Notamacropus eugenii: one gene and its partner. The protein of the gene in region 2 interacts with the protein of the main gene of each other region in a pairwise test. Links are inferred from orthologs where the notes say so. Each region holds a gene or a part of one and is shown on either strand. Other genes may lie near its edges.

Evidence for each region.
Region 1: the proteins of GRB7 (region 2) and LAX1 interact in binary tests that used the Homo sapiens proteins (3 or more experiments, as listed by UniProt). The two-hybrid records come from large-scale screens. The link is inferred for Notamacropus eugenii from reciprocal best matches to the Homo sapiens genes GRB7 and LAX1.

The regions. Positions count from the first base shown.
Region 1 is NC_092873.1:436,194,471-436,198,386, forward strand, and holds the start of LAX1 (lymphocyte transmembrane adapter 1), read right to left. Parts: upstream 3,056-3,916; 5' UTR 2,728-3,055; intron 2,713-2,727; exon of another isoform or gene 1,015-2,712; intron 202-1,014; 5' UTR 176-201; coding exon 87-175; intron 1-86. UniProt on the Homo sapiens protein: Negatively regulates TCR (T-cell antigen receptor)-mediated signaling in T-cells and BCR (B-cell antigen receptor)-mediated signaling in B-cells.
Region 2 is NC_092873.1:355,269,859-355,273,774, reverse strand, and holds the start of GRB7 (growth factor receptor-bound protein 7), read right to left. Parts: upstream 2,415-3,916; 5' UTR 2,341-2,414; intron 2,091-2,340; 5' UTR 2,077-2,090; coding exon 2,052-2,076; intron 1-2,051. UniProt on the Homo sapiens protein: Adapter protein that interacts with the cytoplasmic domain of numerous receptor kinases and modulates down-stream signaling. Promotes activation of down-stream protein kinases, including STAT3, AKT1, MAPK1 and/or MAPK3. Promotes activation of HRAS.

The DNA of each region.
Region 1 (3,916 bases), about 81 Mb from region 2:
TCTCTATCCTCCATTTAAGTCAGTGATGAGGAGACCTCCAGCCCCTAGGTTAGCACATTAAAGTGAGTCTTGAAGGGAACACTCACCCATGAGGGCTACTGACAGTTTGGGGGATCGTGGTGTATTCCGTAGTCTTCTCTTTGTTCCTGGAGAAAGGAGGTTTCACTGTTCCCATTGTGGGTTAAATTGCTAAATGAACGTCTGGGTTGGAAAAAATAGATCACATTTTAGTTCTAGGTCCACTCTCTCCCAAATTACCGTATTCTTCTCTGCTATTGATTTCTCAGAATAGTTTGCTCTTTAATGCAGAAAGCCTTTTGAGTTGTTGATTCCCCAGAGCAAAAGTGAATTTGTCTGTTATTTGTATCCAATTATGATGAATCTAATTAGCTTATTACCACTTAATACTAAATTACATTGCAATTCTCCTGGTATCTAGGGCCTTTTCTTTTAAGGACTCCCCAATTCCTTTTTCTTTCCTTTTGGGATCCTCCAATTTGATTTTTTAAAAATCAGACTCACAGGATTAGAGGATCTAGAGAGACCTTACAAATCATCTAGTTTAACTCCTTCATTTTGCAGGCCAGAGACCCAGAGCAGAGAAGCAATTTGCCCAAAGCTCCAACGTGGTTTAGTGGAGAGGACAATGAACTTGGAATCAGGAAAATCTGGATTCAAGCTCATGACACTTACTAATACTAGCAGTGATCCTTCATCATTCACCTCCCTATTGCCTCATTTCCCTCCTTTACAAAACCAAGGAGTCAGACTCCATGACCTTTAAGGTCCCTTTTAGCTTTAAATCTTTGATGCTGAGTTGAAGGGACAAATTTCAAACCTATGTTCTCCTCCTCCCAGTCCAGTTCACTTTCCATTGTAATATGCTGCCTCTCCCACAAAGAAATCACCCTTTTTTTCCCATTCCTTTCTTTGAGCTTTCCTGATCCTATCCTCCTTCTTTCCTCAACAAACGCCCAGTCCTTGCTATATCTGTCTTAGGCTGGTTGGCCTCACCTGCACAAGCTAGTTGAACTCCTCCTATGTGCATCCACTCTACGCTGTAACCTGTGACCTTCCTCTGGATCCAGAAGTGGTTTAGAGGCCACTTTGTGATCTTTGCTTCCTTGTGGGTGGGCTTGTGGGAGAAGAGTGTGGTACGTGAAGCACTGAGTGAGGGAGAGATGGCCAAGTGATAGAGAGGAAGCCCTGCTAAGAAGTAGAGCCTCCCTGTGCTGTTAGAAGGTAGCTGGCAGCTTTACCAGAGTGGAAACAGAGAGTCAGCGGCAGGAAACATCAGTTCCAATGTGCTGATGTAGCAAGGGGCACAGGAAGCGGTGATTGGTTTTTAATGTGATAGAATAACAAATATTTTCAGTGCTTACTCTGTACTTAACATTTCCCTGGGTTTGTCTGGAATAGGAAGAGGGGAATGAATGACTTTGGGCCCTGGCATGGGAAGGGTGCATTACTCTTCCTGGATTTCCGAGACACAGTGAGATCAGTTAACTCACAGTTGGATTTCTTTTTTTCTCAGGAATGAAGAAGATGGAAGAACTCACAAAGGTTGTTTAGTCTCTCTGCTTTTCTCTATAAATAGCTTTCTTTACATTTACATGTCTCCCCTGGTAAGATGTGAGCTCTTTGAGGGCAGAGACTGCTTTACTTCTGTCTTTGTATCTGGCACAGAGCTTGCTTCGTAAATGCTTGCTGATTGACACTTGCTAAGGGATAAGGGATTTCTCCTGTTCTTAACAGTTTCCGAGGTGGTTAACATGGTTTTGCCCCTTGGGTGTCATGCCCTATATGCCTGAGAGTCTGAAAATATTTGCCAATGTGTCTGATTTGAATGAAGATTCCCTTACTGGCTGACCTTCATAGACATCTCACAGTAGTGACCCAAGGTCACATGGGTATCTCTTGACTAACAATCACTTTTGCCTCTGACTCTTTCCTTTTTTTTTCTAAACCAACTTAAAACCTCCTTGCTCTGTCCTCTGTGTGCCCCACCCCAGCAGTCATTTTTATGTGCCAACCCACAGGTAGTGTAGTGAAGTGGACAGCAAGCTGGCCTTGAAGACAGAAAGACCCACATCTAACACATTGGACTGTAAGTTGCAGAGAAATTGTTGCTTGTCATTGTTAGAGGGAGTTTTCTCATCCATGGAGTCCCCAATATCACAGTTCTTAATCCTTATTTGACATCCTGTTTCCTTAATAAGAGCAGCCCCAGACTCTGGTGACTTCTAAAAAAGCTCTGAAAGCATCTTGTACATTTGCTTAGATCTACTTCACTCCATAATCCCTCCTCCCTTATTGGGAAAGGTCCTCGGGTAGAGGATGGAGGTAGAAATGTTGACAACTGGTACTAAATTTCACCATCTTCAGGGAGAATTGCCATTTTGCTGCCTGGAACAAGATCCTTCTGGCTTCTCTTCACCCATTCCCCAAGACTCCTTTCCCTTCCCAGAGAAATGGATATAAACAGAATACAGTGGTTCACTTACCATGATGTCCCTCCTTCACTGTATGCATTCAATTAAATCTTCCACTTACAAATTCAACTCTCAATTATTACATATCCTCCCTCCCACAGGGAGTTAATATGCTGTCTATTTCAGTTCCATAAATCCCTTCTAACTCCCCCACTGTCCCATTTTGACAGTGACACCCACATGCTTGATTCTGGCCACCCCATCCATTTTCTCACTCCCCAAAAAGCCATCTTACCCAGTAGGAAGCAGAAAGGGAAGGTGAAACTGGCAGGAATTCCATTCACCCAACAGACCAGCTCTAGGTCATAACCTGTCCCTTGGCTGGCTTCTTCCTTTGACTTGGAGTTCTAGCACCTCATAAGGAAAAGCCCTCAAAGCACCCGGGATGCTGGAGCAGGTGAGAGGAGACTTGATGAAGGAAGAGAGAGACTCTTTCAGTACAGACTTGAGCCCTGAGCCCATACAGAAAGCGTACAATGAAGGAGAAGGGAACATGGGAGTAGGATTGGAAATAGAACATTGAGAGAACATTTACTGCATTGCATCCTCCTCACTTGAGAAGTATGTCTGTTGTGGGATTGTTTTTTAAGGCTTTCCTGGGTGGGGGGTGTCTATGTGTGTGGGTGTGAATCTTTCAGAGGCTTGCCCCTCCTACCACTGTGTCTCTTACCTCCTACTTGCCTGCTTCCTCCATTCTAATCTGACCAATAGTCACATTCTCCCTTCTAATTATTTTTCCTCCTTTGGAACTCCCACAATACCTTTTTTTCTCATCCTACTTGTGCACATATCCCACTGTCTCTTGTGTCATCCTCAACTAGATTGTGGGCATCGTGAGGTATTCATCTTCTTGTCTTTTAGGTTCCACTGTTTGCAGGTAGTAGATAAAGAGGGGGTATGGCATTAGAGATAGACTGCTGGCTTTGGAGTCAGAAAGACCTAGTTTAAATCTCCCTTGTGACACTTCCTGACTGTGTGACTTTGAGCAAGTTATTTGACTTTTCTGAGCCTGTTTTTTCATCTGTAAAATGGGGTTAAGATTACCTACTTTACAAAATGGTTGAAAGCATCAACTTAGGAAATGTAAGTCAAGTGCCTTTCAAACTTCGTATGTATATATATATATATATGTATATATATATATGTATATATATGTGTGTGTGTGTGTATAAAGATGCATAAAAATAAACTATTAATAAATAAAAGTGCTATGTAAATGTTGGCAATTAATAAATAGTTGCTTTCTCTCCTCCCTCCTCTCCTTTCACACATATCATAATTAAAGTGGTATAACATCCCCAAAGCAGGGTGCAAAGCAGAGATTCCACTACTATGACTTCTTTTACTTCCTCCTCCTCCCATACAGACATACCCCATTTGACATCATTAATTGGCTCTACAAAAATTACATTTTTGGTAGGATG
Region 2 (3,916 bases):
TACTCCCTTCATTTCCTGATCCTACTTTCTGGAACAGGGAAATCAGGATCATGGCATGGAGGGAAAAACTGAAAGTAGGTGAGGTGAACGAGACAAGACCCAGAGGGGCAAAGTCGGAATGGCCAGTCTGGCCTCCCACACCTACCAAACTGGTTTGGAGAATACAAACAAAGGGGGGAAAGGTTCATGAAGGAGGGGAATTGCCCTCAGGCATCCCCAGACTTCCGTACTCCAAAGAAGCTCATACTCCGCCAAAGCTCTCCGCACCTCAAAAGTATTTCCCTCCCACCCCAAGTTCCCCGGAAGCTCTCTTCTCCACCCCCTTTCTCTCCCCAGCCTCCTTGTTTACTTCCTGAAACTTGCCCCACCTGGCTAGCAAAAGCTGGGAGAGGAAAGTCTGAGGGTCAGGGACCACAATATTAAATATTCTAAGTCCTACTCTAAACATCACAGTCTTGAAAACTCTCAGTGAGGCACTGGAGGTCTGGGAGACACTGGGAGTTTTGTAGGGCAGGGGAAAGATTGGAAAAAATTATGTAAAGGTTGAAGAAGTAGGATTGGACAATGGAAAAGGGTCCAGAGGTTATTTGGTAGAGGTCCTCCCTTCTCTCCATAGGCTGAGGTAGTCCCTGCATCCCCATTTGCGGGGAATGAATCTCCCCCTTGGAGTAAGAATCCCAGATTCTCCCTTTAAATGAAATTTGGGAAGAAAAGGGGGAATCTTTGAGGTGCAACTTTGGGAGATCACTGGTAAACAATATAGAAACCCAGGATGACATCTTCCGTGACCTTTGCATCAGGTAGGAAGATACCAGGAAACTGAGGTTCAACCTACCCACAAGAAGATATTCACAACAAAGGTGTGTCTGCCTCTGAAAGGGGGAGGATTTCTTTTAAAGTTTAATTTGGAAAATATGCAAAAGTGGCCAAAATTTGATTAGGGTTAATCATTATTGGTTATTTACCCGGGGGATAGGGGGGTAGAGCTCCCATCTCCCCTAAGCTGATTTGGGGGGGGAGGGAAGCAGAGTCCAAAAGTAACAGATTTCTTATCCCCAGTCTTTATTAAAGCTGCACTAGGGAAGTAAAATTGAAATTCCCCATGAGGAGAAGAATGTATAGCAAGAATGGAATCCAACTATCCTGCATCCTTTTCAGAGTACAGAGAGCTCTCCTACCTCATCCTACAGTGGGAAATGAAGCAGTAGGACCCCCATCTCTCCATTCTCCAGTCTCTAGCACGGGGACCCAGACATCCAACCTCATAATTTCCTTCTTTCTCCCCAACTTTCCTTTCATTGCTTGGTGGACTGAGGTGGATAGGCTCCCAGCAAAGCTGCCCTGAAACTGGGGTATCACTGCTGAGTTTCCCTTGTCCTCCACCCACATTCTTTGACACAGCTAGAACCCAGTTAACAAGATCCTTGAGATTTAAGCTCTTTTGCTGGGGAGCTGGAAGGTGGGGACCAGTGTTGAGCCCATCTGCAATGAAAGGAAAGTTAGGGAGAAAGAAGGAACAATTAATTCCCTCCTCCCAAAACTAATCCTAATTCAGTGTGCCCTAATCATTTTACTGATCCCCCAAATGAAGTTTTCAAGAAGCCCAGATAGACCCCTTTCTAGACAAATCTTAGGGCATCCCAATCAGGGCAAGCTCACAGTAGCTTTGCAGAGATGAACAGGAATGGGGGCTTACTGTGACACTGAGCCTCCAATTAATGCCTCCCTCCAACCCCCATCTCCCTTTTAGGAAGGGAAGGGGGAGGGCTGTCCAGGGGAAGCAGAAATCATCCAAATGAGAAAAGATTCCCTATTGCCGCCACCCTTCAGCTGACACAATGCTGGCAAATATTCTCCCCACAGAGAAACAGAAGAGACCTTTAGCAATGGAGGAGTCACAGAGGACCCAAAGGAGGTCATGGAAAGAGGGGAGAAGCAGGTGAAAGAAGAAAACACAGGCAGGCCGGAAACAAAGAAGGAAGGATCTGGGCAGGAGGGCGTCCCCAGGTATGTCGGAAGAGACAGGAAAAGCTGCCGAGCTCGGCCCTTACCTGGACCCTGGGTGCTGCTACACATCTGGCTGGGGCCATCTGTTTGGGGAGGGACATACCTTGCCTTTATCCACCTGTGTCTCCCCGCCACCCCAGTACCCTTTGCAGGTTCCTTAGCCCTCCAACCTTCATAGGTTCCACCTGCCATCATGGGAACGGGGCTGGGGTTACGACACTGCCCACTAGACATCAAGTCCACCTGTAAGGGGCCCTGGCACAGACAGCAGCTACAAAGATACTGAGGATAAGGGTGAGTGGAGGTTGTTTTCTTGGATATTTCTCTTCCTACCTGGGAAGCCCCAGTATGAGAGGCTCAAATGCCTAGGGTCCAACGTCCGGCTCTGTCTGGTGACAGCCGAGGGTCCAGGACACCAGGGTCAGATTCCTGAGTTTCTCTTTCCAGAAAATGTGCTAGGACGGGGGAGGGGAGTAGAGAGGTGGTAGAACCGGGAGGCAAGGCTGGAGAGGCGGTAAAGTGACTGGGATTGGAAAGGTGGAGGCGGGGCCTGGAGGAAGGAGGGAGGAGAAAAACAAGAGAATACTCCTCCGGCCACTAGGGTGGGGAGTGTTTGTGCTATTATTATCCAGGCCTTTGGGACCTAGGTGTCCAAGGAGGTGGGGGGAGGGAACAGGGGAGGGGCCCAGGTGTCCAGAGCAGCCAGCAGATCCCATTCACACTAGAGGGGACACTAAGGTTTCAGCTCCCAAGAAGAAGGGGGAGGGAACAACCAACCAACCAACAGGGGGCATGGTCTGGGGCATGGGTGCCACCCTCCACCATCCCCACCCCTGGGGCAGAGGGCAGATTCTGGTTTCATGTCTAGGAGGTGCCTGACTCTCTAGGTCTATTCAGCCCTTGATCCCCACTTTGACTTTCCAGAGCCATCTATGCTTGGTCCTCCCTGGTGCAGTGGATAGGGCTGTGGGCCCCGGGGTCAGGAAGCACTAAGTTCAGACCTAGCCTCACTTACCTGTGTGACCACAGGCAAGTCATTTAACTTCTGTCTGCCTCAGCTTCCTCAGTTTTAAAAGGAAAATAATAACAGCACCTACCTCGAAGAGTTGTGAAGATCAACACAATTTGGGGCACAGAGGTACTTAATAAATGTATTTTTTTCTCCCTCCTCAAAGCCCTGGATTCTACTCCCAGCTATGGCTGGAAATCACAGGATCCAGGTCCCTCAGTTCGCTTGTTAGACTTGGTGATCCCAAAGGCCCTGTCCATCTCTGACATTCTATTAAAATGGACGCTGACCCCCTATAGCTCCATCAACCTCCCTGAGACGGATCTTTAAGTGAGTTAGGTATAATACTAGAAGCCATCTCTAGAGTATGACAATTGGAGTCATTGACCAGTGTGGGAAGGGAATGTGATAATGATAATTGTGGGGCCAGGTGAGGTGAGCTTCCCAGGATCTGAAAGATGAAACCAGGGCTGGTTCTGCCAGCTAAGTGTTAACAAGAATGAGCTCCTTCGGAGACAATGTATTTAAAATAGAAAAAACCAATGTATTTGGAATCAGGGCTTTGGGTTCAATCTTGGCTGTGCTACTTTCTGGCTAAATGGCTTTGGGCAAGTCACTTCATCTGGCCTTCAGTTTCCTCATCTGTAAAATGGAGGAAGTGGATTAAATAGCCTCTGAGGTCCTTCCCATCTTTAAATCTGTGATCCAACATATGTATATCCAATTAACCCCCAGAATCTCTCTCATCCAACTCAACAAGCATTAATTTAGCACCTACTATGTGCTTATTACAAAAATGGGGGAATTCTACTAGATAGTCTCTGAGAGGTCCCTTCGACCTCTAAATTAACCCACTACATATCTATAGATAGATAGAGATAGAGAGATAGAGAGATAGAG